Linked DNA regions of Styela clava. The protein of the gene in region 4 interacts with the protein of the main gene of each other region in a pairwise test. Links are inferred from orthologs where the notes say so. Each region holds a gene or a part of one and is shown on either strand. Other genes may lie near its edges. The genes, in order: nuclear valosin-containing protein-like, WD repeat domain-containing protein 83-like, protein pelota homolog and heat shock protein beta-1-like.

Region 1 (7,835 bases), on a different chromosome or scaffold from region 4:
CTATGTGGCCTGCTTATTTTCGCAATAGTCTTCTCAAGCATAATTTGTGTTAACCTTATATTTGGTTCTTATGGGTCTGCCAATCATGATATTTAATCGTAGGCCGGTTATCGTTACTTAAAAGAGAAAACACTCAAAATAGTATTCAAAGTATTCAAAATAGTGAACTATTCGGTATTGGCCATCCCTGTCATTAAGCCATCTAATTGATTTTCTATCCACCAAAATAAATTATTAAATCCATCAATTCCTAAATACACATATACCTCAAGATATCCTCTCTAGCTTTTTCATCCGGAATACCCATACAAATTTCTCTATCAAATCTACCAGCCCTTCTCAAGGCAGGATCGATCGAGTCTGGTCTATTGGTTGCACCGATTACTAAAACCTTAAATATATAGGGAGAGGAAGCACATGTAATTGAGTAATATTGATGCACATATTAAATTTTCCAGATGGTTCTTCTTTTTCAGTCAGTCTCAAAAAAAATATTGCCGGATCTTAATCGGTCAAACGTGTGGTTGAAATTTCCAAGTGTTTATAAATTTAAATCATTTTTCAATTCGAAGATGGACCATATTGGCATATTCAGAAATTATCTCGGATGCATGAATGAAAATGAACCCTCTCATAAGGATTTTTAACATGAAAACATTTTGAGAAAAAAAATAAGATACCTGTGATGGTGATGCACTAAGATCATCGAGACATGAAAGTAATTGCGCTACTATTCTTCGTTCCATATCTTTAGAAGCAATTTCTCGTTTTGGTGTTATGGCATCGATTTCATCTGGAAAACATTTGAATAAAAATGATAATTGAGCACTTTGAAGAAGTCATAATAGTATTGAAAGTCATAGCTCAGTGGTAGGAGTACATACTATTATATAAAAGTATATTTGGAAAATTATCAGGTACTGTATTTCTCAATGTTATTGCCCGATGTCGAGATAAAGAGGCTGCAGTGAACAGTACAATTTTTCAAGAAAATTAGTGAAAAGGAGAAAGAAAATTTTTTAATTATCTAGCTAGCTGACCAAAATCTTGAGAAATATTACACAATTTCAATGCAGAGTTATCTGGATTGTTCATTCTTATTCTATTTCATAATCAATTTTTTACCACCGTCCACCACTAACAGTTTAAAGATTTCTCCCGACTAGTAAGTAGTCAAACATACCAATAAACACAATACAGGGCGCAGATGACAATGCCATTTCAAACATTTCACGTAATTTCTGTTCACTGTCTCCTGAAACTCCGCTAACAATTTCAGTAGCAGCAATCTTCAACATAGGAAGTGATAGTTCACCAGCTATAGCATTTGCTAGAAGTGATTTGCCACAACCTAAAAATATAATAACAAAATAGTCAAACATGACGAAACAGAAGATTGAGCTGTTCAAGAGTACACCATAACTTTTCAGAAAAAATGAGTCATACATAAAAAAGTTATCAGAATGCGAATCGAAGATGTGCATTCATAAATAGTTCTTTTATAATACTTCAAATTAGAAGATATGAGTTGGGACAGAATCAAATTGAAAGAAACATGGAATCAAATAATAAAATAGTTGTTTATTCGGAGTGAAAACACCCCATAAAAATTTCCTTTTTATTAAATGACATTGTAGACAAAATGTGACTCACTGCACTACATCATTTTCTTCATTTGAAAACATTATCCATCGAACTGGAATATATGAAATATCAGAAACACTATTACCTGGTGGGCCATGAAGCAGAATACCACAAGGTGGAATAACCCCAAGTGTTTTATAGATTTCTGGATGTTTCATATGAACAAGAAGTTTACAAACTTCTCTCAACGTATTCTCATTTCCACCAATATCTTCAAATTTTACCATTGTTGTTTGGAATTTAAATTTTTGTGTTGCATCCTTGCCTAGAATGTCGATATCAGCGTCTGAAGTTTTTGATTCGGTTTCCTTCTTTTTTGATTTTCTATGTCTTCGCCTATCTTTTTTTGTACTAGATGGAATATTTGTCTTAGTAACAGTTTTTTTATCGAGGGTAGGTTTATCATTATTCTCTACAAGACTATTTTCTTTGCTAACGAAGTCTGAATCAAAAAAATGAAATGTTTTCTTGTCTATCTCAATTTTCTCCTCTTCTCGAGATTCATTTTCTCTGCAAATATCATCGTTATTAACAGCATTTATTATATCTTTCTTTTCTTTTACAAAGGGTATTTCTGGAATAGGCGCCACTTCTGTATTTTTTATTGAAGGTTTTTCAAAAAAGCTTGATGCCGGAGTTGAGCAGTCAACATAATGATATGGTGAAGAAGGCATTGAACGAGATTTCTTTTGTTTTTTATAAAGAGACATAAGAGATGAATTCATTAATCGATGGTCCGAAAGCTCGACAAAACATTCATCATCGTCAGCAGAATCTAAAATATAGATGGTCTGGCTGTTAAATTGTTAAACTTTATTGTGTTGGCATCGAAGGTTACACATTTAAGTTTCGAACCCATGACTACAACGTCACACAGGGTGTTATAAACTGGCCAGGCAATGCAATCTTTCCAAAAATATTAGCTCCCTACAGAGCTAGAGCATTGGATAACAGTGGCTGTTTGTGCAGGGCCTTGTTCAGGTTAAATGGTGCGAGTAATCTTCGTGTAAAAATACTTGTACGAGTAATAGTTGCAACAAGTCCCAAAATGTTATAATGAACATGTTTCTGAGTTAAAAATACAACATTGTGTCATACTAACCAGAAGAGCTGCTATGTCCAGAATCTTCTTTCCTTCTTTTACTCATATGTTGCCTTTCTAAGTCATTCAAATTCCCTTTTCTCCGTTCTTCGACAATTGACAAATGTATCTGAAAATGAAAATATGATTTTTTATGCATTCTACTAATCAAAGCTTCAGCAAACAAAATTGTTCTAGTACAATAATAAAAGCTATAGCAGCAAATTCAAATAGCCTATCAATACAATAGGACATGATTACAATTAATTTGGATTGCCAGGGTGGAAGATATGCTTATAAAGTAATATTAGAAATTGAAAATCGCTAGAACTGCCAAATACAATCATAATTATACCTGTTTCACCAATTTTCTGAATCCATTCCTTTTTCTTCTTCCATAATCCTGGCGATATATAGATTGCAAGTCATCTGCCATATCATCTACATATACACGACGTCGTTCTGTCATATATTTTCTAACTCTTCCCACTAAACGACGATCAAATGAAGGAAGAAACGACATTCCAGGAGCTTAGCCTTCAAGCTCAAATGTACATCGAAAGATAGCTTAGTTAAGATCAAAGTGACTTTGGTTAGGATCAGTGAAGATTGAAGCATGTTTATTTCGGGGACTACCCTGAAGTGATGGACGGAGTCGTTCTGAGTTCTCATCTATTGGGTATAATTATGTGGGTAGGGCGACGACTAGCATGTCGTTGTAATCAGTGCAGAAAATTATAGTAACAAGTAACAGCTATAACTACCTGACATGGGCATCATGATTAACGTACCATACCCGACATGGACTGGCAGCCGGCCCATATGATTGATTCGTCTTGTCCCCTTTCTTCTCCCCCGAGATAAATCCTAATCCTCGTGGATAGGGTTTGTTTCCGTGCTTGTTTTTGAGACTTGTCCTCATTTTTAAAAACTTCGGATCAACTAAAATAGTCTATGCTCTTAAGATTTATATCTTAACTACTTCTTTATAATTTTCATCAATTATTCGACAGACCAAATTTCAATTCTATCGAATGAAGTGCCAAAGTATGGCGCTATAATGGGATGGCGTCATATTTCCAACAATTTCAACATTGTATCAGTAGGTTCCATTACATTTGAACCCACGTACATTTGAATTTGAACCGGTAATATCAACCCACGACAATTGCACCTGCATACTATTGCACCTATGGAAATATGCACCTGCGGATATTTGAACCCATACTAACCCTAACCCACGGATTTCAGCACCCGCATATAGATTAAACCCGCGGATATACGGGTGCGAATGTATTGGTTCAAATGAACGTGGGCTCAAATCATGTTCAAATGTAATGAAACCCAAATATATATGAAATGAAACAAAGAAACTTTGTATGTAACAAATACCAAATCATTGTTTGTTTTAGCGTGGGCAAATCCTCCTTTTATTCATCTCTCAATGACTTAAGCGAGACATTTTTTTTCTAAATGAAAATTTGAGTGTATCAGAATGATCGTCATCCACTCAAATGTGACCGAGGGTTCCATTACATTTGAACCCACGTACATTTGAACCCATGACAATTGCACCTGTATGCTATTGCACCTATGTAATTTTTTTTGTTTTTCGGATAGTTGAACCCATGCTGACCCTAACCCATGGGTTTTAGCACCCGTATATAGATTGAACCCGTAGATATACACATGGGTTCAAATGTACGGTCACCTCTCGAGATATATCGGTCATTGCACTTTGTCGAATGACCGTTCAGGAAATTACTCCCTTCAAGGCGATTTCACCATCTGTTCGTGGGCAGGAATAGACATGTCGGCGTAAACAAAGTCTGTTATCGGCCTTTTTTTTCTCTCGTTTTTGTTTGTTTATTATTTCGGATAATTGCCAGTCGGCTGTTTACCATTTATTTCGTGTTAAGAGTTAGCTGTTCAAGTAGTGCTAATTTATTTGCCGCAACGAGCGGATTTGTTCACTTGTCCATCAGTTTAATAATAGGGTTTGATTCATTTTGCATATCTTGTATTTTTATGTTGCTATTGTTTGCATATTCTAGAATTAAGTATGTAGTTAACCTGCCTGTTGGGTTGGTCGTAAACTTTAGCAACCCTCAACACCTCATTAATTAATCATTCGTATTCTACAATGATCATTTCGACCTCAACAGTTGATCGTTGCGTCTCAGCAATGATCATTTGACCTCAATATTATTGTAATCAATTAAACAGTTGGACCTCTGCATCCTACAATACTGTATACTGTATGTCATTTATGTTTCTACAATACTGGAATCATTTTGTGTTTTATCACCACACAATTTCGTATTTCACGTGACTGCAATAGATTTCAATCATATTCAAGTTGTGAAGTTGTTAACATCGAGATACCAGGCAGGTTATACATAAAAGAAAGTTAATAGCGCGAAGTGTCACCGCCCAACACGTTTTAGGATTCTTGTAGAGCCTCATCATAAGTACTAAGTCGCTTATAATCTACAGTATTCAAAATAACCTCACCACGAAATGTCAATCGATATCTATACAGAAGTCATTACAAACAAAAGGGAGGGCGCGAGAGGTCCCAAGATGGAATCGTAAATTTACATGTACAGCTTCTGAAACGGTCTCCGCGTTCGTTTAAAATACCGGCTTTTTCGTGTTATAATGAATTTTTCTGTCTCGTAATAACTACACTAATTCAAGATGGTTCTCATTTGTGTTAAAGGTAACTCGCGGTTGCGGCGATTCACGATAAAATAAACTCATTACCTATCTAAAATACCACGCCAATCCGCGGACATAATAAAGTGTGATCAATTGCCCGATTATATTTAGTTTTTATATATATTGCACTCATGCGAATTCGTTGTAGTCATTAGAAAGATCTAGTATAATATCCCAGAAAGTATATTTAATTTAGTGCAATTAAAATACATGCAAAGTATATAAGTAGATGAAAAATACATATTAATCGAAACGAAATCCCCGCGGTACGGCTTCTGAGTCAGTCCTCGAGATTACGCCAGTCGTTGAAAGAGCCGACTTTTTCAACGGATATGTAATGGTTTTTCTGTTGAATAAAATATTCAATCCCCGATTGATATACAATTTATATCAAGTCTGTAGTTTTAGAACACTACTGGTGTGGCGCACGCACAAGGAATTCATGAGATTTTCAATGTCTAAGAAAGTGTTTTTAATCTGTGGCGGTCCACCCCAAAACAAAACTTATGGCGTTTTCCGTTTTATTTTTAGTATTTTATAATGCCACTTTTACAATAAAGGAATTTTTAGTTACATATTCACTTCTTTATTCTATCTTTAGCATCTCGTCGCTGATGATTATAATAAAACCTAACTCGTTTTCCTCAGAGGTGTCATGGTTCCATTCGAGAACAAAAATAAGTAATTATAATCGTCTTCGCGGCACAAGAATATGTCGAGGGAAATTTCGGATTTAGGAAGAATAAACACCGAAATCAAGATATTTAGGGCTTAAATAACACGCCACGCGGACGTAAACAATGGAGATGTAAACAAATTGCAAACGCCTTAGCGACAACAATTGATTGCAATTTTACGTGTCTTATGTAAACTGTAGCAAGTACATAAGGATAGTTACTGGGTATTTTAATATTTTCACCACTTATTGTTAGTAGTGCATGTTGTTTGCCTGAAACAAGGTTGTTGTCCCAATTCATTTTCTTTATGATATATTTTTCTCACTCAGTGTAGCTTGTCTTTGCCGTTCTTTGTTAGTTAGAAATTTGGTTTCATCACATATACTTGCTTTAAGGTTTCAAGTGTAATTCGTTATTTGGATCAATTCGATTGTGCAACTTTACAATATACGAACATTTGGCATTCAATACATTGTGTGCTTTATTGACCTCTGAAGGAGTCAAGATCGGGAGTTACACTCTGTTAACGTGTGTTCAATAACACGGGAGTGTGGACAGGCAGATAGGGTCGAATCTTTGTTGCCCTATAAAACGTTTAAGCAGAAAATACATTAAAGCATAGGTTTATTGCTTGTTTAGTTTTACTTAATAATAGTTTGACTTTGCCAAGTATTGCAAACTGAGCGGAAAATCGAGAATGTATGATGACCAACCACGCGGCGGTGTGGCTCAACGGGCTAAGCGTTAGGAATACGCTCGCCACCGCACCTCTAATCACTCTGCGTGGGTTCGCAGGTTCGAATCCCATGCAGGGATGGTTATGTGCGACCACCAAGTCCATACTTCCGAAAACAAACAATACAGTAAAAACTAATCCCATACCCGACTTGGAATGGTAACCGGACGAGAGGCCGTGGTTCGCCATATGGATAAGCTGTCTTATCGGCTTTCCTCTCCCCCGGGATAAATATGTAAATCCTATCCTATCCTATTCGGCTTTACACATACGACAGTGAATGGCGAAATCGTACTCCAAAGCGTTTTAAAGCATTTTTTCAAAGCAAAAAGAGAGGGGGGGCGAGAAGTTTGTAAAATTTTTCAAAGGGGGGCGCGGCTCGAAAAGTTTAAGAACCACTGAGTTGGTCAGATGAGAAATTCCAGTAAATACTATAAACTATTGTGTCAAGCACCCCTTCTAATAAAACAATCATATTCAGTAATGCAACAACGCCAACAAGTAATCAATCATGACAAAGTAATTCATTTAAATCCAATTTACTGCGTCAGAAAATTACGAAGACAACAATGGGAAACAAAGATTATAAAAAGAATAGTTATCAAAATCATCAATTCGCCTCCAATCAACCCACTTATTTTTAACTAAGAAATTTGGGTCAGAATCAATAAAGGTACAATGTGGATCTATAATTATTAAATAAATACAATTTTCTTGATTGCATCTAGCGATACCAAAAATACCCTTCGACGAATTATCATTATCTCCACCCATCATAATAGGACTGCCATACTTTTGAAAATGTTCGTTTATACTTTGTATGTGATTCACAAGTTGCCCTTGGGGAACATGCACAATTCTACAGGGTACGTCATACACATAATCTATGCATATTGATATTTCGAAAGAACCAATCCACTCTTTTGACCCCATAAATGAATGCTCCTTATCACCCATTGAAACCAATGCATGCTGA
Region 2 (7,971 bases), on a different chromosome or scaffold from region 4:
AGTGGATTTTGGGGCTTGTTAGTTACCTAAATAAAGTGTATAATGTGTTACACAAGGTATGAGCGAGACCCATCGAAAATGCTCAAAATCTAGTGACAGCACATTACTAAATTAAGGCAGATTTTTTTATATTTCTTAGCAGTTCATTTCTTGCCCTACCATCAGATGTCAGATGCATTATTCTGAATGCTTATGATGAATTTTTCTTAAAATGACTTGTTGAAAATGTCAATTATACTGTTTTGTCCTGTTCGATCTGCGATCTCAAAGTAAAATAATATCCCATGTATCACTCTTATCAGATGCAGATTCTGGACGATCCTCTCTCACATCCACGGTACTTGTAAGTCACCTTGCTGTCACATTCCTCATTGAATGCTATTTATGTTTTATCCTTCGGTTCAAACTCTTCACTTCTTATTACAATTATTGAATTATCCATTGCAGCAAGAAGGCTGACTTCTTCAGGATGATGGCTGATTGAATGTACTACTCTGTTTTCTTTTAACTTTATTTTGTGTTGAATTTTCGCTTCAATCAAATCCCAAATATAAATGAATCCATCTTCAGATCCGCTGATCACATGATCGTCTTTAGCATTCAATCCGCATTCTATCATGTATTTGCTATTTTTATGTCCAGTATATTCTCCTGTGTATTAAAAACAATTTCTTCAATTACTAAATTCATATAAATTTAAAATGCTGTAGCTTGTGTTTGAATTACATAAACACCCAAAGAGATCAGAAATTATTAATTTAGCTATTAATCTCGATATTCGGGTCCCGGTTTACCTGATACTCTACCAATACTGTGGAAATTTTACAAATACTATGAAAAGTGATTGTTGCAACAGTAATTACAGTTCGATACGGGACTTGGAATTAGTGCCCCCATCTAACCCAGAGTGTGATGAATTGGGCAGGCAATATAGATCCAGGCAGATTCCAGTAATATTCATGGCTGACAGTATAGAGACTTGGTTAGAGCAAAAGATGCTGTATAAAGTGAAACAGGTGAGACAGGAGAATTCCACAGATATATAAGAATGCTTATATTCAGTTCACTTTGTACTTCATAGGTATACTGTTAGTGTTACTATCAAATATTATTAATGGACAATTTGATTTCAATGCCTATGGAATGAAATTTTGCCTGTGATGTGAAAACAGTATTTTCAATTTTGGAACATATGGCACATTGTGTTGCAAACTGTTAAATTATCTGCCCCCTCTGCTGAAAAAAAACTTTTAAAATAGAAAATTCAACAATAAAGGACTATTAATCACACTTTTGTACAAACCTAACATTTCTCCCGAATCAACATCCAACAATCTGATTGTGTGGTCATGACTTGATGCTAAAACACATTGAGAATCTTTAGTGTAAACAGCATAAGTAATAGCTGATCCGATGAAATCAGAAAACATTTTTCCAGTTCTTATATCATATCTTCGAACTTTGCCATCGACAGAACTTGAGAGAATTTCATGATCATTGACCTGTGTTAAAAGCACGAGAGTCTTTAATAACAAAAACTTAAATGTGATTCGACAGAGAGTTTGATGATTCAGAGTGATTTGACAGCCAAATACTTCTTTATTGAGCCACAGTTTAACAATCTCAGTAAACTGTTATTTTTCATAGAACAAGTGATAACGAAAGATTTCTACAGGAGTGTTGTGCTAGGTATTTCAAAGGGGAGGTTCTAAAATTTATAATTGCCAAGTTAGACTGTAACAGCTAGCAGGTTTTGCTGAAAAACGAGGGTTTTCAAAAGTCTTGAGTCTAAAAAGCCGTTTCAAACTACAAAAAATTTATATGTACGATACAGAAAAGCTCCTTTTTGTATATTTCGAAAGAGAGGTAAGGTTCAAAATCCTGGGTACGCCCTGTATTTCAAGACATATTAGCAATGTCTTGATTGCTAATTTCATGCATTAAAAGGAAGCCAAGAAACTGACGACCTGTAAAGATGTAATGCTGTCTTTTGCTTCATCCATAATTTGGTAAGGAGTTGGTTTGCGTGATCTACAATCCCACGCTCGAATTGAAGAATCTACAGAACCAGAAAGTATAGTGGTCGACTCTTCATTAAATTGAACACAATTCACTTTTCCGACATGCCCTCTGTATCGTCGCATAATCTATAACGGTGTGAAAAATAAGATTTATTGAGATTTCTTTGAATTGAGCCAAAAGAGTATCCATTGAAACTGAGAGTTTGAAAAACCAACACTTTCAGCTTTGATAAATAATAAATAAGTTTAATTTGCAAAGCCAGTATAACTGAAAACTCATCACTTTTTTTTATCATCAAAACAATCCAAAAAGTACAAACAATGTGCGGAATTACCAGACAGTGCGCATGGGTTGGAACAAATTTTAAAATGTATTAGTATGCACCCACCAATAAAGACAATGGAAATACACACAAAAAAAAACCAAACCGTAGTGCAATAAGCTTGTTCAGCACAGCAATTTGTATTACTTCTAATTGGAATGGATTGCTGCTATGAGAATTAATTTACCTGACCACTTCCAACATCCCAGTATATAACAGTTTTATCACTACCACCAGATGCAAGTTGTGCATTGTCACATGATCCACATGCATCTAAAACATCTGAACCATGACCAGTGTATTTCTTTATTAATAATTCTTTGTTAGGATTCCATAATTTAATGGTCTTGTCACTTCCACATGTTATACAGTAATTTCCATCAGCTGAAAGTAAAATATGGTTGGCTGAAGATGCTACAAACATTTGAAGCTAGGCACTGGCTAATTGAGGGTGATGAATTTTTTAGCACACATAGATATTACTGTATTAGTGCTGTACAATGCGAATGCAATAACAACCACATTAAACCCCATATTTTCAATCAATCATACAACCTCGAATGTCTATAGCCTATTTTCATTCTAGAATCAAAACAAACTCGCCAAGTTGCTGAACAGAGAATAAATGAATCTTTCTTGTAACGACGATTTTTAATCCCTATAATTCATTTGGTAAAGGAGTAAAAAATACACACCATTATACCTCACAGCCCGGACTGCTCCTTGTCCGCAATCAATACTCGAAAATATTTTTGTTGCAACATTCTGCGCCATGCGTTACTCCACTTTGACAACAAACTACCGTACCTTTGCAGTGCTAACGTTAATATTATATAATCTCATATATTCTATGATATTAAAAAACGTAGTTATAAATCTTGACCAATACAAGAGACACCCACTTTATCCCAACAAAAACGTTTTGACAAAAATTTACAAATTGTACGAAAATGGACAGGAATTCATGAAAAGATATCCACGCAGAGTTCGAATCCCATGCAGGGATGGTTATGTGCGAGAGGATTGCTGGACTCCTCGCCGTCGTTGGGTGGTTCACGTAACCGCTGGTCGGTTACGGCTTCCTCCACCACCAAGTCCATGCTTCCGAAAAAACAAACAATACAGTAAAAACTAATCCCATACCCGACTTGGAATGGTAACCGGACGAGAGGCCGTGGTTCGCCATATGGATAAGCCGTCTTATCGGCTTTCCTCTCCCCCGGGATAAATATGTAAATCCTATCCTATCCTATATCGCAATGGAAGGATGGCCCACACTCGGACATCGACAAGTTTCATGATTGTATGTTATTTACACGCTGTGCGAAACTACACTGATTGAATTCAGATCTGACGCTGACATGAAGGTTTTTGAAATTGCAGAGCTTTATTATGTATTCAATATAGTTTGCGTTTGTTGTTGCTATTGAGTGTCATGTAATTTTTAATAATAGTTGATAAATATTACATATAGTTTTTTTAAAACATTTCTTAAGCTATTTTCATTTCAATCGAAACTGCGATCACTGATCGGCACGCGTGACTGATTTTCAAAATAAATCGTTACGGCGAGTACTGTTGTTGCAGTTGGCCAAACAAAACAGCGGTGGTTTCAAAAAGCTTTTTGTTGCTACTGATCGTGTTGCTTTGTTTATCGGATAAAACAATTGTGTATCGATTTGAGAATTCGTTGTTTAGGAGACTTTTATTTGTAGGACACGCTGACAGCTAAAAGATTTCCTCTAAATTACAAAATCGCAGTAGAAAAACTGTAATACCAGAATACAGAATGGTGCTGTAATGGGAAATTTGTGATTCCATTTAACTGTGTATGTGGCATATTTTTAGAAAAAGTTGTGTGATTGGTTTTGGTGTGCGTTATTTAGATCTATGCTAGTTGATTACCAGTATTTTTGTTTAAATTAATCTTTTTGGATTGCACGGCTTAATATGCATTTTTTTTTATCTTTTGAAGTTCAATTTCCGAATATTCAGAAATTGCCTTGCAATATTCTGATAGGCCTACCTTGTTTCCCCGAAAATAAGACCTAACCTAAATTTGTAAATTCTAAATATTTGTATATTCAAAATTATCGTAATTTCCAAAAGAAAATTGAAATAAGATCCTGTCGGGGCCCTCATGGGATAACTCGAAATACTCTGAGATTATTATTATGCAGACAATATTTCCATATTTAGAAAAAAAAATTCCCTTAAAAAACTTATGATTCCACTGCTGCACTGCAGAAAAACCCAATGCAAACTTATTATGACTAGAAAATAGTCATTTCAGAATATCCGTATTCTCGAAACAAGCATTCTTCAGTAATTTGAAAGCAGTTGAAATGAAATAATGAAATAATCTTTGTTTAGTTTTGCTGATCATACCTAAGTGTGAGTCATTATTTATGTTTGCTGGTTTGTTGATAATATTTTAATAAATACTCATACTTAATATTTCTTAATATCATATTCTCTAATATAAATTTGTGAATAATGTTTCAGATCGTCCATCCTGCCTAATGCTAGGTGTATTTCTCAACTTTCTTTGCTAAGATGAAAAAGACTACATAATTCCTTGCTTTAAACAATCTGACTATTGGACTAAATTTGAAATAAAAAAAATGCCGAGTCGTCGCCAAAGATTTGTGGACTCTTCCTCTTCTGAAAACTCTCCTCCACAGAATCCATCTAGGAGAAGGTTACCATCTCCTCCTGCTGGGATTCTGCGTGGATCAAGACATGTCACAATCATGGATCCATTATCTATTACAAGAAGAGTTGATAGAATAGCGGACAACTTAGAAGATACATCAAGGAATTTAGAAAGCATGGATTCCAGACTTTCAGACTTCAAAGATGTTCATGATGATTCTATGTCAGCTTTATCCAAGGTAAGAAGATTAGTTAATTATTTTGTTTCAGTTATTTTAATATCTTTTTTACTGATATTGTTCAAAAATTATCAAGTTAGTTCTTGGAAAGAAGAACTCAATTTGGCTTACTCAGGAATTGAAATTTGGACTTACATTTTTTATTTCAACCCTGTCAATATCATTTTTAAAAAATGGGAAGAATTTTACGCTTGAATTATTTGACTCGCCAAATATAATTTTTTATTTTGCAGTTGAAAAATGACCTGGAAGGATCAATAAACAAATTAAGATATGAAAGAGAAAAGAGAGCAGCAGCTCGTGAAACAAGAAGTCTTCATCAAAGTGATTTTACTTCTTGTAAGTTTTGAAATAATTTTGGATATTTTCACCAGTGTTATGCGGCACATGAGTAGATGGTGACAGGTTGTAATTGTTGATTCCATTACTGGATATCAATTCATACTTGATTATGATTTGTTTGTTTATTATTAAACAGACTATGCCACATTAACAGTCTTTTTTAATAAGAATTTTGTTATTCTTTGCAGCAAGGGGAACACGACCTAGACCAGCGAGTAGTCTTGGCTTTGAAAGAACATCTAGAACAACAGCTGGACCATCAGATCATCTCAATGAATCGGTAAGATGTAAAATAATCTTGTCTTGTTAGCTCGTAGAAAGGGATAGCTATATATGACTCATTCAGTTTGGGTGAGGGCCTTCATGTCGCAGTTTGTGCAGCAAAGGCATACATTGCTTAAACTGAACTTATAATCATTGAAGATTTTAATCAATGACAAATAAGCCCCTATTCAGGAAAACTTTTAAACTTTTGTAGCAAAAATCCTTAGCCCAAATCAGAAAGAAATATGGTCAGTAGACAAAGAACCCACTTTCGCTGCTTGAACTACCTTTATGCCATTGTATGATGCTTCCTCCTGCTTTTTAAATAAGTATTACAACATTTTCCAGAAAATAGACTTGTTTGATTATGTCATTCTCCAGTCATATAATAATGTTATTATTAAACTTTAATTTTTTCTGTAAGTTTCAAAATCGATACTTTCAGGTTCGAGATTTGAGAGGAAGAGTGTCAGAGTTGGTTGCAAACCAATCAAGAATGGATGATGAATTACAATATCGGTAATTATTTGTGAAGTTAGCTCATTTTTACCTTGACTGTTGTTTCTGATGATTTTTATACTATATGCTTTCAAATTATAAACATTTTCCCCTGCACTAAGTTTACTACTTTGCTTTTAACCCTGAATATCTTCAAAAATTTTATTATGATTTTATCAATATTCTACACAGTTCTGAATTGGGATCGCGAAAAGCATTAAAAGAAGTTAATGGAAATGGACTCGGTGATTCAGCAGCAGATCGTGTTGAACGTAGATTAAAACAATTAGAAAATGAGTTGGTCAGTGAAAGAGAGAATGCAGCTCGATTTGCTACTGATGCAACAAGGGATCTTTTAAGAAAAAGTCAAGCAAAGTATGCTTTTCTTCTTTGTTGTTTACCTGTTTTGCTTTATTGTTGTCATCCTTGCTTTTCACTGATCTAAATTTGTTAAAAGGGTATTCTCGTAGTATGTGTACCAGGTTAGGGTGAGGGCAAAATTTTATTCCCATTTTCCGTATTTTAGTTCTATTACAAGTTCGGGGACTGTGTGTTAGCAAAGTGAATATACCCCCTGCTCATAGGTTTCCGTCTCTTTTCAAAACTTGATGTAAAATAGGCGAACAAATTTAGTTACCTCCATATTGGTATACACACTTCTGGAGCGCCGTTAAAGAAGGTCTTAATGTTTACTGTCTGATATCTATGCATGAGATACCATTTTCTTGGCAGGTAATTATTATTATGTAATTATGTTATTCATATTCTAATTTATCATAATTCTGGATATGTTTATTCTGAAATGTCATCGCTTTTTTGTCGTATTGCAAAATTTTTGTGTCAGTTATCAACTCTTAAACTCTTAAAAATGAGAATTACATGGAAAAAATACAATTTAGGAATCAAGATGATGAAGTTGTTCTTCGCAACCAACTGTTACAAGCTGAAGCAGGGAAGAGAGCAATGGAAACTGATATGGATTCAATGAGAAGAAGATTAGAGCAATCAGAAGGAGGACGAGAAGCATTGATGGGACAGATTGGTATGTAGAATAGGGGTCTGAAACCTATGGGCAGGGGGTATATTCACTTGGCTAACACAGACAGTCTGAACTCTCAATATACCCAAAATAAGGAAAATTGATTAATCCTAACCTGGTACACACACTGCGGGAGTACCGAATATATAGCAAGCAAGCAAGTAGGTTGAAAGATAAGCCAATATCTCAATCTTTTGGGAAATCATGATATTATGCCACAATTTAAGGACTGAAATTACGAAAATCACCTATGATTTTCTATGGCACCTGATGCAGAGCCCGATATAGGCTCTGAGACATTGAATATTCTGAAATTTTATTAGTAGATTCCCTATATTTCAACATGCTTTACTGAATCTTTTACCAGTATACAGAGTATACAGATGTGTTTTATATTTATGTTTAGAATGGTATGCGATGTCTAGTTCCCAAAATAATAACAGCTAACAATGTTGTTGTGACCACTGAAAGATTTTATGTTTATCTGTTTCAGCTGACCTTCGAAACCAAATTTCTAAATCAGAGAAAAGCAAATTGGATTTAGAACAACAAGTTCGTGAACAACTTACAGCGCAACAAGTATTAAGAGA
Region 3 (8,567 bases), about 7.8 Mb from region 4:
TTGTTATTGTTATCATTTGTCTCCATCAACACGTTTTGAAGAAATGGCTTTTCTCTTCGAATACTGGACCAATTGCTTTGAAATTTTCAGTGGTTAAAGATAAAAATTTTTTCCAGAAGGCTATTACTTTTTTTTCGCTATGACGTCATCAAAATTATGTGACTCTACGTGTCCATATATTTGAGCATAGCTCTCTTGTTTTATTTTAGATGACAATTTTTGTCACTGTGTTGTTTTTGCAGTGAAATTGAACTAGGCCTACAGCATCACCGTTTTGCGTCAGGGAGTGTTTTTTTGTTCCATGTTCTTGTAGGAAAAGCACTGTTGTGTTACACCGTAAATATATACTGTTACACCATAAATATATACTACTACGTTACACATACACGTCTCACATTTTAATTTAGAAGGTAGAAGTTTATTGCATCCCATTATTTACTTTAATTGGCTGTTTTTGTTAAATTGTTTCCAAAGTACTGCCCGATTGTAAATCGCGTTTTTCTGTGTTTGTTTTATTCTTTTTTGGTGGGCGGGCTCGTACATTATACGCTATTTAACTTTTTTTAAGTTATGCCCGTCTCTCAGGTATCTCTGCATTTTGTTTGTCTGTTTACTTTTTGTATTGTTTATGTCAAAGAACCAAAATAAATGATTGATTGAAGTCAGACCTAGCTGCGTCGGCTTTCAGAGCAAGAAATCGCAGCCGTCACTTCTTTTTGCATCAAGTCGCAACAGGTCAAAGGTTATGAATGTCCCTAATTGGTCTTATTTTTACCAACTGGTTCATTAATTGTTTCCCACACTGTCTTGATGTTGCCTTTGTGAGAGACAAATTTAACGTTAGACATATAATAACTTGATTTTTTTTGGATTAGCCAAGCACAAAAATTCCTGTATTCAGGAAACGCAAAAGCAGATAATCTAACCACAGAGTGAAGTAACAACAACGTAGTCACGTGTTAATCAGCTGAGAAAAGTCGAGTTGTAACTACTAACTAGTGACAACTACATATACCGTATCTCGTACCGGTTTACGTTGCCAAATGCAGAAATAGGGGTTTATGAGTAGACTATAGTGAATTTTGCTTTAGTTGCATATTTTCTTCTTGACATGTCGTCGTCTTACCTGATTGACGGAATTGGCGATGAGGTAACAGTATTGTTAGGCGTTCTCGTAGCAGTTTTTGTCGTCATAGTATCGTGGTTGTCCACGAGAGTGAGCGATTCCAGTGGAACCACTGAAAGGTGAGTGACTAAGATTAATATTTTTTTTAAATCTGTAGGTTGAACTACTGTGTTCTAATATTTTGAGTTTTAAATTGGTCGAATGAAACTTGATAATTAGACTATAATACTGATGTATGAACGTTTTGCGTAGTGCAAATTTTGTAGCCATAAGTTTAAAGCTATTTTAAGGTTGCCGATGACAAGTAGCCTAGACCGAATGGTCATTTCGCGGTTATCCTGTCGATTTGGTACAAATATTTTGTGATCTTACTCACTTTCATTTATTATGCTTTATCGGAATGGCAAAGACTGGATTGTGGTGGTTTACTTCGGTTAGTTTCTGTTCCTGTGTTCTGCTAATTATAAGCTCATACCTAAATTCTGGCTGAAAAGGCGGGGCTTTTTGGCTAAAATTTGGACCTGACGCCGTGTATTATAAAAATGATCCTGCCTAGTCTACTGGTTGACAAAAACTTTGACTCCATCGCCAAGACAACATAATTTTTCTATGTAACTGATGTAAAGCCAAGCCTCCTAATTGCATTCTAAGAATGCTTAGTCAACTCAATGATTTTGAGTTCTGTTGGCAATTTTTATTTATCGTTCTGTCATTGGAAGCCTGAAATTCTGACTTTGATGCGTTTTAAAATCAGAATTACAACTCCTGAACTTTGGCACCAATAGAAATAAAAATATGATAAACCCACATTCCGCACCCCGGACAGCCTCACCAAAAATATCAGATCTCCATCAATGCTATGTTATATTCTGTTTATCAGTTTTCAAAATAGTCAGCAGACATCTGCAACTGTAGAGAATCAGACACACAGTGCATCAGCCCAACCAAATGTTCCAACAGAAGCTGTCCAGACAGGTAAAAATGTTTTCAGTTAAAAACCTATTCAACAATGAGCCAGTTCAGCAGTTAGTGTACTTGCATAAAACAGTATATTAATGACAAAATCAACATATCATTATCAGTATTGTCTTCTATACTAAATCTATTCATCTTTTTACAGAAGAATCTTCTTCAAATTCAGATGCTTCTGGGCCCACACAAGATGAGTCAGTTGTGAGCAACTCATCACCAAATGATGCTCCAGTATTAAGACATCGAATTCTTCATGATGCACAAGCATCTGCACAAACACCTCCGACACAGGAATGTAAGTCTTTTCAAAAATTATAAATTTCAACAATTCCAAAAACCATATTGAATTTTTACAAAATGTGTTATTTATTGTCTTCTATGTTCCAAAATCAGTAACTGTGATCTAATCAGTTAGATTAATTTGTTTAACTTTTTATTAAGCACCGACTTCCTCAACCGCTGAAGGTGGTGCAAGCATCACAATACGTTTGAAATTTATGGATGAAACTATACAAACTGTGAAAGCTAATCCTGATGAGACATTGGAAAATTTTATGAGGTTATTACCTTTTATAATATATTATTGGGTGTAATACCTCATTTTGTCATTATTGGGCAATGTTTAGAATTCGAATAAGATATCGCATTGTTGAAAATTGTGGAGAAATTGAAAATCTGGCTATAACAACAGTGTTGTCATTTTATTGATTGTTATTAAAACCTCTGAGGCAGTATATATTGCATTCTGTTATTTTTTTTTTATATGTCACTTATTTCACGCCTTTTGCTCTGAACAAGGCTCTGTACAAGCAGCCACTGGAGCTAAATTATTGGAAAAACCGGAATCTTCACAGTCACCATTGCCCATACAATTATTCACACCCTGGGTGGGTGTCCGAGATGTACTGATGCAGTGCCAATACAGTTAGGTCCAATGTTTCAATAACTACTGGGCCATTGTGCATTCTGTTGTTTTTGTTGAAACACCAATTTAAATTTTTACAGCCGACAATTCACCTCTGATACTCGTAATCGATATAGATTAATTTATAGAGGACAAGTTTTGAGAGATCAAAGCCGGACTTTACGCCAGTTTAATTTAGTTGGAGATACCACTGGGGAAAATCCAACTATACCAATGATTCACTGTTTTCTGTCACCTGCTACTCCTGCCAACGAAGCAGGTGTTAACATGGCTAGTAGTGCTTCACAACAAATGCAGATGGTTGCAGAAGAACTCCACATAGGATCTTTCATGCTTCCAATACTAGGCAAGTTATTCATTTGAAATTTATTTTTTTGCTTGCCATCAGCTTTGGCATATGATGAGAACAATTACTTCTACCAAAATAATATAGGGTAACGCCAAATAATTGAATCCAGCACATTTGGAACATTCTCCTAGAGAAGACTCAACTTTTGTGCAAAGCATCCAAGGTTGCTCAAACTTTTGGGTATTATGATACACATAACAGAAGTTCAGGTGTTAACTTTTTTTTCGTTTTTTTAGGAGTAATCAGGAAATTTAGGGGTTCTGATTTTGGGTCACGCTATTTGTAGTTCGTGAAGAGTAAGAATAGGTGGATATGGTTTCCTTTCCAATTCACTTGTATGTTGTAAATCGAAGGATTAGGAGTCATTTTATATTATATTGAAATGGATATACTAATATAAATGTTGAATGAATATTGAAATGCCATACTAAAATTATATTTTAATAAATATCGTTTTATTTTTAGGTTTTGCACTGGCGAGCCTTTGGTACCTTTGTATATTTCACACAAGTCTGTTCTCTATTCAGTCAATAGTCAGTATTGTTGGATTCTCCTTCTTATACATTGCTTTAATTGTCAACCATGTCATATGACCATAGACATGTTCAATACAAGATACAAATATATATTACGTTCATGACACTGTCATCCTTTGTCAGGAGAATATCTGCAATGTTGTCAAGTCACACAACTCTTCAATGGTTTATGCCCTTCCAACATATTATGATGAAAAATTCAGATGTACAGTAATGATGACTTTTAATGCCGAAGAAATTTGAATAGCTGAATATTTTTAAGGTCCAAAATCTTGAGATTTTGATTTTGCATTTTTTTATTATTTAAAATTACAATTTTTTCCAATCTTGATTTAAAATGTTGTAAGACTCAACTGGTACTGCTACTTGATTAAGTTACTACAGTTGAGTTGCTATGGCCGCACAAGAGGAGTTTTATTGGAACTGCATTAAGCTGGAAAAACATTTTGCGGAAAGCGACACTGATCAGGATCGCGATCTACAACTTGAAACAATCTGTTTATAATATGCTCCCTATCATGTATTGCTCATGTTCAGACGAAGCAGTTACAGGATGAAAAAATATATGAATATAATATATTCATCTTACGTTTTTGAGTAACGCAGTAACTGGGTCACTACATACATTTGGCCGACCAGATAAGGCGCATAATCTATTTTTAAAAATAAAAAAGGGTTCAAATGGGTGTTTATGGTCTGTAATATGTTAGATCAGTCAACTCTCGGATCACATTGTGTAAATCGGTCTTATTCTCTTATGAAATTTTTCGAATGAAAATATATTTCAGCTAAGCTGAATCAGCTTATTATATTTCTTTATGCTATTGCACATCCAATCTATTATTATTCTATGCTGATGTATGTTTACTTGGAATATTGTATAGTCGCAGTAGTAATTTCAAAGTATATTATGTGCTGCTTAAATTTGTTACAGAATTTTGCGTTGTTAAGTTTTGCAAGATATTTGCCCACTACCACAGTTGTCATACGTAATCTACGGTACCTTAAACCAGGGCTACTTAACTGGCGGATCGCCATCCGAATCCAGACCTCTTGAGTATTCCATTCGGACCGCACCTGTTTCTTTATTTTGAGCATATTCTCATTAAATTTGGATATATGAAAGTTTTTTTTGATAAGTAAATCTTATTTATATTTTTAGAGGTTAATTTATCATTACAACGCTCGTCGAAGATGGCACTGAAATATATTTAGGCACACTGTGAAATATATTTTCTGAAAAACGGGCCCCAATGATGTTAGTTTTGTTCCTGGATCTTTGGTGAAAATAGTTGAGTAGCCCTGCCCTAAACTGTCTTTCAAGGGATTTTGTGCAAATGAAAAAATATAATATATTAAATGTGACTGAATTACTTGCTTTTTACTAGTTCACTACTTATGACAACGATTAGTCTAATAATATGCTAGTTGTTATTAAAAGCTCCAAAACAGACTGTAAGCAAGACATCGTTACTCCAACATGAAACTTGTGCATCGGAATATAACAAAGGATTCATCAGGGTAAATAACATTGTTTGAAAAATTTTATTTTATTTTCCGAGATTCTAAATTAAAACTGAGTTTTACGCACGATTATCTGTTATGGAGAACACCTGTGCTAAAATATAAATCGTTATCTATAGATTACTTAAATTCATGTTTGAATCACAAATTGCGCTTGAACTTGGAAATTGTGAAAACGTTGATCATCTGCTCATTCAATTCCTAGATCTTCAGATCCGTTAATTAATCAAACAGTCGTCATTATTTTTCATGTGTAATTGTAGGAAATATTAAACCATATTGCTTAACGTTTCAGTCAAGTGACTCTCATTCCAGAAGATGGAGAGGATATGTGGCATGCTTATAATATTATCCAAGCTGGAGATAGTTTGAGATCAACCACAGTTCGTAAGGTAACCACTAGGAGTTTTTTCTGAAGACACTAAGTATAAGCTATAAATAATATGATTGTTTACACTGTTAATGAGAATTCGACAAAACAGGGAAAAAGTGCCTCGATTAATACCTGGATTGTCTATACATGCAATTCTTGAAAAAGATATAAAAATTTTCTTAGGTGACAAAAAGTGATTATTTTTAATATTTGAGCAGACTAATAAAACTATACATGTGTAGCAGTTATTAAGTGTCTGTAAATAACATTTAATGAACTTGTGAGTATTTATTTCAAAAATGACCTATAAAGGACCTTCCGGAAAGCCCTTTTTTACAAAAGTATCAATATACCGGTAATGCTACCAAATATCCCATGTATTTTCGTATTGAAGCTGTTTGGGGACAAAAAGAGTTTTGTAAAAAATTGGTATAATATGGTTAAATATAGAAATTTCCTTTGTGCGATTTCAACGAGGTTTGCAAGTTCCATCTTCTCATATTCTATACTTGGATCATGTTATGAAAAGATTTTTCAATTCCTATGACAATCACACTTAAATAGGTTCAAGTTGAATCGAATACTGGTAGTGTTGGAAGTAGCAGAGTACGGACAACATTGACAATCACTGTGGAAGCATTAGACTTTGATTTCCAAGCATGTGTTCTTCGGGTGAAAGGAAGAAATATTGTGGAAAATCAGTTCGTCAAGGTAAAATGTTTATGTCAAATTTAGGACGAAAGTAACAATGTATGTTCACAGCAAGGTTGTTTTTATGGGTAAGAATCATTGATTTTTGGGTACTCCCGAAGTATGTGAACCAAGATGGCGGACACCGGAATGTAGTATGTGTACCAGGTTAGGCCATAATTTTGGGTACAAATACTACATGAGTCACTTCGCTGGTCCCTGAACTCGTAATAGAACTAAAATAAGGAAAATTGGAATAAAATTATGGCCTAACCCTGACCTGGTACACATACTATGTTCCGGTGTCCGCCATCTTGGTTCACATACTTCGGGAGTACCGATTTATGTTTATGTTTCTCAATTTTTTTTATTGGTATGATTGATTCTGTCCACTTTATTAAGTTGTATTATCTGGTATTTATCCGTCTAAAGCTAATATATTTTTTAGATGGGTGCATATCATACTCTTGATTTGGAAGTCAACAGAAAGTTTACACTTGCAAAAAAATGTTGGGACAGTGTGGTGTTAGATAGAATAGGTAATATTATCTTTACATACCAGTCATATCGGAGCTAAATAATGTACATTAATCAATGGTATTACTAATATTTCTTGTTTTGGGCAACACAGGTGTTAAATCATATTCATGGACGAGGAAAGCTGTTTATATAATCTCTAAGTATTCGGTTATCCAAAGATTGGTGAATATTCAAGAATACCCGCTTGTAATTATCATGTATCTAGTTTGTAGTCTTGTTCTAATTCCTCCCTAGATGCTGCTTGTGATCCAACTCAAAATTCTGATGTTGCTGCTATCGTAATGCAGGAAGGTATTGCACATGTTTGCCTTGTATTAGCGAGTATGACTTTAGTGCGAGCAAAAATAGAAATGCAGATACCTCGTAAGAAAAGAGGCAGCTCGCAACAGCATGATAAGGTAATGTTGTTCTGATTTTATTTTGTAAATGTTATCCTGTTGTTGGTTTACTTTTAATTATATTAAAAAGCTTCTACATTTTTGCAGGGTGTTGAAAAGTTTTTTGATTCTGTATTGCAAGCTATTCTGCGGCATGTAAATTTTGATGGTAAGCAATGATTTTTTGATTACATTGTTTGAATGGTTTCTCAACTGGGTTGTAGCAAATAAAATTTGGTGAATTCCAGTTTTTTTTTTGTGAATGCATCGTTGTAAAATGCTGGTCTGAAGAATACTTTTGGCAGTTTTCATTCTTTGCAGTCAATGCAAAGTCACAGAGAAAGGGGCAGCGTTTTAGCACACACTGCTTCAGTCGATCGTACTAAATAATATCCGTAATTGGTCATTTCCATATTTATGTTAGAATAAATAGTAATAAAAACATACAGTTTATACTGAATTCATTTCTTTTTTAGTTGTTAAATGTGTTCTTGTTGCGAGCCCAGGATTTGTAAAAGATCAATTTTTTGAATATATGTTCAATTATGCTGTGAAGACTGACAATAGGGTTCTTATTGAAAATAAATCAAAGTTTTTGTTGATACATGCTTCGTCGGGTTTCAAGCATTCTTTAAAAGGTATGAAGTTTCTGTGTCCTGATTTTTTTGCTAACATAGGTATATTTGCTGTTTTTATCTTTACTGGTTGTTGCTTTATAAAAACAACTCAATGAAAGTTTCAATGTATTATATAATTGATAAGTTACGAACGAGCCGTGCGGAAACATATGGACATGAAGTCACAACCTTCCAAGAGAGACTTATTCTCCAACTGCTCGAAAATAGAAATTGGTTTTTTGCCAAGAGTTTCGACTCTTATCCCAGTGACAACATGAATAACAATATCTAAATTTATAAAAATGCAAAGTTCACTCTTGGGTTGATTTGTAGCATCAGGATGAACTAAAAGAATTTTTGTATCTTGTGTGAAAAATCATTTGGTGCATGGATGCCCCAGTGTGCTTGGCATATTGTAGCCACTCTCCTGTACGCTCACAATTTATGTTTTTAGAAGTTTTAAGTGACCCTTCTGTAATTGCGAGACTGGCAGATACAAAAGCAGCAGCTGAAATACGTGCCATGGAATCATTTTATA
Region 4 (8,698 bases):
GCGGCATGATTTTAAAAATACCCCTAAATACTAACTAATACCTTGAATACATAATGCATTTTATCTGATGTACTAAATGAGCGTATATATGCTCATTGCATGTTCTACAGTCCAGCAGTGTTTGCATACCATTACTAGACTATATCTACACTAAATTTTGATATATCACAGTCTGAAATGTCCTATGACAGTATGAGTATGGACTATAGACTATATTTTGAAACATCAACTGTTTGTCTACAACTTCATTTCTCACCTCTCAATCATTTCCAATGCTACCTTTCTTTCCACTCCGGCATAACTTATCATTGCTTCCCAGGTTCTTGTCGACTCTATGAATTTAGATTTAGACCAACCGACGTTAGTAAAATTGATTAATTTCTTCTCTTTCACACAACCGTGCATTACAGAAACAGCCATTCATTTCTATTTCCAAATATGCTGTGGCCTATATAGTAGTATAAGTCTGCTGAATAGTCAAAAAGAGTCATTAAATTAATCATAAACATTTCATGCAAGCCAGAAAATATCGTTGTTTGTGACATACCGGTATTATTCTAGGTCTAGCCTTCCTTGGAGTTACCGTACCTATTTAACAACGTCTTATGAGCTAGTGCTCAACTAAAATTGCTATTTATGGCAAGGATATACAAGTGTTTAATATCTTACCTATACTTTTCAACACCTCCTTAGAATAACTGAACTAATATTACCGGTAACTGAAAAAAACTATGGAAAGGCTACTCAACGCAAAAGCGAGCAGTTGAGTACATCTGATATTCATCCGACCACTGGGGATCCACCTACAGCTGACTAACTTGACTGTTACGTCGTGCAGAAGTCTGCGTTCATTGGCCCATGATACCGGAAAAGCAGAGAAAATAGGACAGATGGTAACACATATTTATTGTAGTAAAAGCGTCTTTTCTGTAAAACGTGCAACTTTTGGAAGTGGGAACAAGGCAATATTTGTTACTAAATTTCTAAGGAACATTTTAAAATCATTTTCAGGTAGTTACCTGATGTGCGCTACGAAACTGAAAGATAAATGGCCTCGGCTCGCGGCCTATTACCGATCTAAAATAACACGCCAATCCGCAGACATAATAATGTGACATCAACTGCCCGATTATATTTAGTTTTGAAATATATATATTGTGCTTATGCGAATTCGTTATCGTTGTTAGAAAGATCTGGTATGAAATCCCGGAAAGTATATTTAATTTAGTATAATGAAAATATATAAAGTATATTAGTAAATCAAAAATACATATATATTCATTGCCCCGAAATCCCCGCAGTACGGCTTCTGAGTCAGTCGTCGAGTCTAGATTACGCCACTCGTAAAAAGAGCCGACTTTTATGTACGGTAATGGTTTTTCTGTTGAATAAAATATTCAATCCATGATCTATATTCATATTTAAAATGGTTACTCTATTTATGTAATTGTGATAAACTGAATCTGCGATTGCGTCGATAAAATAAAAGCACCACTTACCCAAAATACAACAGCAATCCGCGGACATAAAAATGTGTAGCAAAGTGCCCGATTACATTTGGTTCCGTATTCTTGCGCATTAGACCAATATGAGCTGTCCCCGCAACTCCCACTCTGCTCCATCGCAATGCTGCCACTCGATTAATTTTAAGATATCACCGTTCTAGAAATTCCTAAGTGTGCGATAAAATCCAACAGAGTAAAACTTATTTCAAGTCGGTAGTCTTAGAACACTACAGGCACGAGGAATTTATGAGATTTGCAATGTCTAAGAAAAAGAGTTTTTAAACTGTCATGGTCCACCCCAAAACAAAACTCACGGTGTTTACCGTTTCCTGATTCAGGGGGAATAAACACCGAAATAAATATTTGAACCGCCTAAATAACATGTCACGCTGACGAAAACAATCGGAGATTTAAACAAAATTCAATTGCAAACGTTATTAGCGACTTTATTTTCCAGCGGTCAAAGGCCGGGGAAAAGTTCACATGCCTAATACCTATCAAAAAATGAACTGCTTTTCTTTATGCTAAAAATGTACACAAACTCATTTGCACTCCTTCACAATTTTTAAACTGTATTTTTGAACCTGGTGGTTGTTCAAAGGTATTGGTAGTGAATTTTGGAGACGTCAGGCCAACCAAGAAATCTGTAATTGTTGTGTATTTTAAACAAAAATAATATAATCTCTTTCCACGAAATATCAAGTATATTTATGAGCGAATTATTCGCTATTTGATTAAGCCATATCTTGTTTTATCTGAAGAAGTTAGACTATGATCTAACGAAAGCTCATAAATATACTTGATATTTCGTGGAAAGAGATAATGTTATTTTTATTTATCTTCATAATACTATCTCAGTCACGCATCCTTGTGGCAACAGCCACATACGGATCCGGAATAGAAAGTAAACAAGGAGAAAGGACCTGTAGTTCAATACACAATACCCTAGTACACCCCATTTTTTAAACACACAGTAAATAATTTTTGCATTGTTCAATAGTGATGAAGTAAACAATTGATTGAAGTTTTACGTGTCTTGTTTAAAATATTATTTAGGCAGAAAATACATTAAAGCGCAAAAACCATACACTTATTGCTTGTTTAGTTTTACCTAAAACTTAGTTTGGCTGTACCAGGTATTGCAGACTGAGCGGGAAAAGGAGAATGTATTTGAGTATGGCTTTATACGTATACGACTGTGAATGGCGAAGTTGTACTCCGATGCGTTTTATGCCTAAACAATCTGAGCAATGACGCTATGAGACCAACACTTACAGCGCCATGGTAATATAAATTAACCTGCCCATTACAAAAGCATTTTTTCAAAGCAAAAAGGGGGGCGCGATGTCTGTAAAATGTTTCGAAGGGGGCGCGGCTCAAAAACTTTAAGAACCACTGGTGTAGGGTAATAGATACTCCTATAGATATACCATCAAAAGACTCTCGCTTAAACTGCTACTAGGTAGCTTGGAAGTTTTAGGGGTTTTTCGATTACGCCAATACTGCTATCAATTTTAAATACCCCAAAACCAATACATGACTTAGAATCTTAGATAAACTAATTGCATTATGTCCATCGCTAGCTCGATGCATATGGTTACAAAGCAAACTGTGTCGTCTCAATGTGTTCAGTATCTCCTTTGCAAACGACGAGCGATTTAATGTAAATTTAATAGCTCACCCTACTTGTCGACCGGGCAGAAAGATTTTTCAGCTGCACGTTTTTTCCTAATGGCCCATTTTCAAATTTATTTGAATGTATTGGGTTGGGATGAAAGGGTGGATTATAGGGCCTGTTAACCCCCTCGTCACAGGCATATTTATACCGATTGAAGAGAGAGAGAGATTTATTATTTGACAAATATTATTTGGAACAGAATCATTCGATGAATCAAGCCATCTCTACAGCAGCGGTATATAAGCCAAAAATATTATATAGTTATATAGTGGGACCGGTATGTTAGTCGTTGAGTGGGACCAACGACTAACATACCGTGGGACTTACCGGCATTTATTTGTATTACTTTATTAGTTGTGCTGTTATAGTATTTAGTAGAATAAGTAGATCATATAACTCAGAAATTTGGCGAGTCCAGTTTAAAATAGTTTATTGCTCGGTTTGCCCCTTAAAAGAAATTTCCTTTCAAATTTTCGTATTGCGCTATTTAGAAACTGTATTGCGATGTAGAATATGGAGGATATTGATTGCCGGACTTTAATTTTGTACCGGACAACTTCAGTTTTTCTTCTTTGTGGCAACTGACTCCGATGACCCCTAAAGGTCATATCGTATCTCTTCAGTCATGTACCGAAAGCATCTGTTTATTTGATAGTTTTATATACTATAGGGCAACAAAGATTCGACCCTATCTGCGTGTCCACACACCCGTGTTATTGAACACACGTTAACAGAGTGTAACTCCGATCTTGACTCCTTCAGAGGTCAAAAAGCACACAATGTATTGAATGCCAAATGTTATATTGTAAAGTTGCACAATCGAATTGATCCAAATAACGAATTACACTTGAAACCCCTAAAGCAAGTATATGTGATGAAACCAAATTTCTAACTAACAAATAACGGCAAAGACAAGCTACACTGAGTGAGAGAAATATATCATAAAGGAAATGAATTGGGACAACGACCTTGTTTCAGGCAAATAACATGCACTACTAACAATAAGTGGTGAAAATATTAAAATACACAGTAACTATCCTTATGTACTTGCTACAATACCGGTGTGTGAAATATTTCAATTATTTTAGGTGAGTGAACACGTACCACATCTTCTTGGCAAAACCTTCCATCTTATATACATTCTGTACGTTTTAAACCTTATCTAAGGCTTTGTTCGCTCTCCTGATTTCATAATCAGTTTTTATTTATTTTTAGCATTCATTTTATTGTTTTGCTGATTATGGAGTCGAAATAAACTTATACTTATTATACTTATATATGTATGTTGTTTCTTGGTTTGGCAAAATGAAATAAACTCTCTCTCTTTCCAATATGGCACGAAGGAAAAGCAGATTTAGCAACCAATTTCTTACATTACTATGATACGTTGGCTTGATTAGATTTTATCCGGCGGTATTATCTTCTACTCGAACCAAAGGTCGCCAACAAGACTTGAAGTCGTATAACAACAAATTGATCTATAATAAGTCCTTGGTGGTATTTGATATCCTTGTTATTAGCACCTTCGATCTAGTAATGCTCAATTGAAAACAAGTACTACTCCGGAATGCACCCGGTTGGCACTTCGATCATTTCTTGAAGTCGCCAGATGTGGGCAACATTTGTCCCGCATTCCGAAGCGATAAAGTTATCTTCTGCCCAATCTTGGCGGAGTAATACAGTATGCGATAGCACATACTCCAAAGATAGAGTCACGGCTTTAATTAAGGAAACAAGCGCATACAAGGTGACAGCTGCGAATGCCCTCGACAAAATGCCGTCACAAGTCGAACATCGTCTCTGCGACATGTCAAATACGCGACAGACGAGTGATTGCCAACTCCCAAATTGGGATAAAAGAGCGATGGAATCTTCCCCCGCTTTAGAATATAAGATGAAATAGCGCAAGAAACTCATACCTGTGAATAAGTTTACAAATTTCACCTCAGCTACATACTGCCAGACAAAGTGTATGGAAGCGAGTTATTACGATCGGGATATTCAGGAAAGATAATATTAATGACCAGTTTTTAAGTTTGATCTTTGAATAGTGGAACGCGCAACGAATAAGTAAACCAGATGTAGATGAGGCAATGGGACTATTTTGGGATCAAGTAAAGGGGGTGCTGGATCGATAAAATGCCGCTCTAGCTTCTGTATCCAGTAATTGGGATAGTGGGGCTTAGTGTAAAAATTTATTATTCCGCAGATCGAATATAATGTGTACGCTTATGAAAACAGTACGAACTTATTCAGCTAGTGACTACATGGAACTGGTCAGGAATCATAAATGAGAAATTCGTGGAATTGCGCTATATTCAGGGCAGGATGTCCTCGGCATCTTCATAATGTCCATTTTTATTAGTAGGTTGTTTATAAATAAATAACGATGGCTGAAAGACAAAGAACAGAACGTCGAATTCATATAACACCATACAGACCAACCCCGTGGGAACCGTTTCAAGACTGGACGTTTCCCGCTACAACTATTTGGGACCAAGTGAGTCTTACTTTTTAGTATTTAATTTTCTATGCAGTACGTGTTGAAGATAACGACTTTACAATAAATTTTTGTATTGAGACAGGTTCATTTTTATACTCTAAGTCTAATAGATCACAAAAAATAAATTTCTTGAAATATTTTTCAAATTATTTTTGAATGTCAGACAATTACATAAAATTGTCTCTGTATAATCCCGGATAATATTCAATAAAATCTATATTATATATTCTGGACTTTTTCACATTAGTCACAAATCACTTTTCTATTTCGGATATAATGGGTTGAAAAACTCATCCTTATCTTTTGCCCAGAGAACGGATTGCAACTGTTAATTAATTATTAGTAAATAATCAAATTTTATATTATCCTTAGTACTTATTTTGTGCTATGTTTGCTGCTTATATCTGTATATTGTTGCATGTGTTGCTATTCTCGTTCTTTTCATATTTTATGCATGTTGAATGTAACTACTACGTTTGAGATTTCGAAGAGGAGTTTTTTATTAACATCATTATTTCACTATTTTAAATCATGACACGTTTCTGTAAAATGCCAACCGATACAGACGTCAGTACTTCAGTCAGAAGTATGCCAGACGAATTCTTCGCAGGTTGGATTCATAGGCCACAGCACTGTTGAAAAGATGTGGTGGTAGCCGAAAAGTCTAATGTGATTATATCCAGTAACTTAGGATGTTACGATTGGAGAATAGTTTTGAAATAAATTTATGATTTATATACGGTATAAATATGCAGTCTTTTCTTAAAAGGCCATTTAAATGGCGATTTGGACCATAACTTGAGATACGTTATTCTGTATTTTGCTTATATGCAAATTTAAAATGATACGGATAAATGGCATAGGACACCATTGGTACGAGGAATTCGTAGTAGAGCCTTTTTATTAATTTTATTATTCAACTCACTTTGACTCTTCACTGCTCTCGGTACATGTATCACCAATTGCAAATATAATTTTATCTTCTGCTGCCGCTATGTGATCACTGAACACTCACAGATTATATTTATTGGGCAAGGCACAAGTCAGCAAAGATCTTCAATCTAAATTATTAAATCTCATAAGCTTGATTATCACACATTAAGCATTATGATGATACACTCCAATGTCATGCTCGATTCATGTTTTCTGCGCTGACTTCACAAGTCAACTACGGTACGTCATCAGTTTTCTTTCACGGTTACCATCCAGTCACGCACGCCTTTACCAGTTTTTCGTCGACTTCACTTAGTTCGCTTGAATATAACCAGACATGCACTTTGAATACAGGATTTTGGCGGAATGCCAATGACTAACAGTGTGCGAAGTGAGCATCGTCAGAGATTGGTCCGAGGTGGGGGTGATCCATGGGCTTCTTCGGCGACTGCTTCCGTTCCGTATGTTGTCAGATCTCCGGCTGCCGTCCAACCTACTGCTCCGCAACTTGTCAACCGACAGAATAGTGGTGGAGTTTCTCAAGTAAGGCGATTCTAGGATATAGGTTTTTACGCATCTGCTGCGAAGAGTCGATTACTAAATATGATCAATGATAATTGTGCGAATAGATGGGCGAATTTTTGTCTAATATAATATTTTGGATCTTTCATACAAAGCACCACTAATGCAAAAATGTGAGATTTGAGAAAACACCCATTCACGTTTTTTAAAACAACAAATTAGTAAATATCCAGTTGGGGTTAGGGTCGGAAATGATTTGAATTGACAGCGCAATCTGTATCCCTATCCCTAACTGAATATTTATTAATTCTCTTATTTGGAGCGCTGGCGAGGGTGTATTTTTTATGGCGGGTGCTTTGTAAAAAATGTCTTTATATTTTTATAATGTCATGTTATTTGGTAAGTGTTTACTAAATATTTATGCTAGATTGCATGAGATCTGTCTTGATTTTAGAATGGTATACAGGGTTTCCGCATTGTTGCATAAACGTGTTGTCTAATGGATTGTTTGGCTTGAGTTTGAATTATGAAAGATTTTGGGTTCTATTGAAGTATGGCTACCAAGATGGCGGACACCGAAACGTAGTATGTGTACCAGGTTAAGGTTAGGCCATAATTTAATTCCAATTTTCCTTATTTTAGTTCTATTACGAGTTCGGGGACTAGATAAGTTGTACCTGAAATTATTGCCTAACCCTAACCTGGTACACATACTACGTTCCGGTGTCCGCCATCTTGATACGCATACCTCAGAAGTACCAGATTTTGTAATGTTTAACCGGAAGCCCGCAACGCGGCATAATCATAGGATGAACCAAGAACTTCCCCCTGCTGGCAGTCGAGGTCGGTTATTTGATAATCAAGTGAGCCGTTTTGCGAAACGCCGAGGAATCCAGCAATCTTCCACATAACTAACCATCTCCCAAGAGGGCCCAGTTTGTGAATCCGCGTATGGTAGTCTGCGATGCGATATATATAAAGCGGATTCCTTACTCTTAACACAATGCCAAGCCAAGTTGTATATCAAACATATTCTATGAGTTTTCATATTAAATATTATACTCAACAATAATGAAGACACAAGAGGCATATCAAGAAAGACAATTCCGCAAAAAGATAACAAACATATGGCAGCCCTAAGTGTTATGTTGCAAGATATTCATACTTGTTTCGTAAATCTTGGTTACAATTAAAATAGTTGCGCGTTACGTCATATATATTCTTTGCCATAATTACATTGTTGTTTGCCAGGTATCCACTGTGGATGGAAAATATCAAATTCTACTGGATGTTAAGCATTTTCTTCCAGAGGAAATAACTGTGAAAACAGTTGGAGACACAGTCGAAATTAAAGGATCACATGACGAAAAACAAGATGATCACGGGGTGATTTCTAGAGATTTCACCCGGAAATATACATTACCCAAAGGCATGTATTCTAAATCCGAACGTAGACGATGCACTCACGCACATATTTTTTGCGTCATACTTATTCTAACCGATTTTTTATTTATTACTGCGTGGATCTATGGATCATTTTGCGAAATTGTTGTTATT

What was found.
Region 1: the proteins of heat shock protein beta-1-like (region 4) and nuclear valosin-containing protein-like interact in binary tests that used the Homo sapiens proteins (3 or more experiments, as listed by UniProt). The link is inferred for Styela clava from reciprocal best matches to the Homo sapiens genes HSPB1 and NVL.
Region 2: the proteins of heat shock protein beta-1-like (region 4) and WD repeat domain-containing protein 83-like interact in binary tests that used the Homo sapiens proteins (3 or more experiments, as listed by UniProt). The link is inferred for Styela clava from reciprocal best matches to the Homo sapiens genes HSPB1 and WDR83.
Region 3: the proteins of heat shock protein beta-1-like (region 4) and protein pelota homolog interact in binary tests that used the Homo sapiens proteins (3 or more experiments, as listed by UniProt). The link is inferred for Styela clava from reciprocal best matches to the Homo sapiens genes HSPB1 and PELO.

What each region holds. Positions count from the first base shown.
Region 1 is NC_135250.1:9,216,246-9,224,080, reverse strand, and holds the start of nuclear valosin-containing protein-like, read right to left. Parts: upstream 3,418-7,835; 5' UTR 3,249-3,417; coding exon 3,081-3,248; intron 2,856-3,080; coding exon 2,747-2,855; intron 2,420-2,746; coding exon 1,730-2,419; intron 1,352-1,729; coding exon 1,184-1,351; intron 794-1,183; coding exon 681-793; intron 392-680; coding exon 267-391; intron 1-266. Other genes in the region: ufm1-specific protease 1-like, read right to left, coding at 7,415-7,835. UniProt on the Homo sapiens protein: Participates in the assembly of the telomerase holoenzyme and effecting of telomerase activity via its interaction with TERT. Involved in both early and late stages of the pre-rRNA processing pathways.
Region 2 is NC_135253.1:10,241,118-10,249,088, reverse strand, and holds WD repeat domain-containing protein 83-like, read right to left. Parts: upstream 3,239-7,971; 5' UTR 3,119-3,238; coding exon 3,040-3,118; intron 2,729-3,039; coding exon 2,532-2,728; intron 2,148-2,531; coding exon 1,968-2,147; intron 1,503-1,967; coding exon 1,304-1,502; intron 652-1,303; coding exon 383-651; 3' UTR 61-382; downstream 1-60. Other genes in the region: uncharacterized protein LOC120326295, read left to right, coding at 4,969-5,238, 5,472-5,577, 5,769-5,860, 6,290-6,363, 6,535-6,717, 7,242-7,384, 7,875-7,971. UniProt on the Homo sapiens protein: Molecular scaffold protein for various multimeric protein complexes. Acts as a module in the assembly of a multicomponent scaffold for the ERK pathway, linking ERK responses to specific agonists.
Region 3 is NC_135252.1:10,070,689-10,079,255, forward strand, and holds the start of protein pelota homolog, read left to right. Parts: upstream 1-5,292; 5' UTR 5,293-5,388; coding exon 5,389-5,429; intron 5,430-5,727; coding exon 5,728-5,824; intron 5,825-6,369; coding exon 6,370-6,516; intron 6,517-6,943; coding exon 6,944-7,034; intron 7,035-7,269; coding exon 7,270-7,433; intron 7,434-7,520; coding exon 7,521-7,581; intron 7,582-7,888; coding exon 7,889-8,050; intron 8,051-8,483; coding exon 8,484-8,567. Other genes in the region: transmembrane and ubiquitin-like domain-containing protein 1, read left to right, coding at 1,112-1,245, 2,007-2,101, 2,247-2,393, 2,540-2,657, 3,104-3,369, 3,838-3,965. UniProt on the Homo sapiens protein: Component of the Pelota-HBS1L complex, a complex that recognizes stalled ribosomes and triggers the No-Go Decay (NGD) pathway.
Region 4 is NC_135252.1:17,837,973-17,846,670, reverse strand, and holds the start of heat shock protein beta-1-like, read left to right. Parts: upstream 1-5,105; 5' UTR 5,106-5,572; coding exon 5,573-5,683; intron 5,684-6,973; coding exon 6,974-7,162; intron 7,163-8,392; coding exon 8,393-8,570; intron 8,571-8,698. UniProt on the Homo sapiens protein: Small heat shock protein which functions as a molecular chaperone probably maintaining denatured proteins in a folding-competent state. Plays a role in stress resistance and actin organization.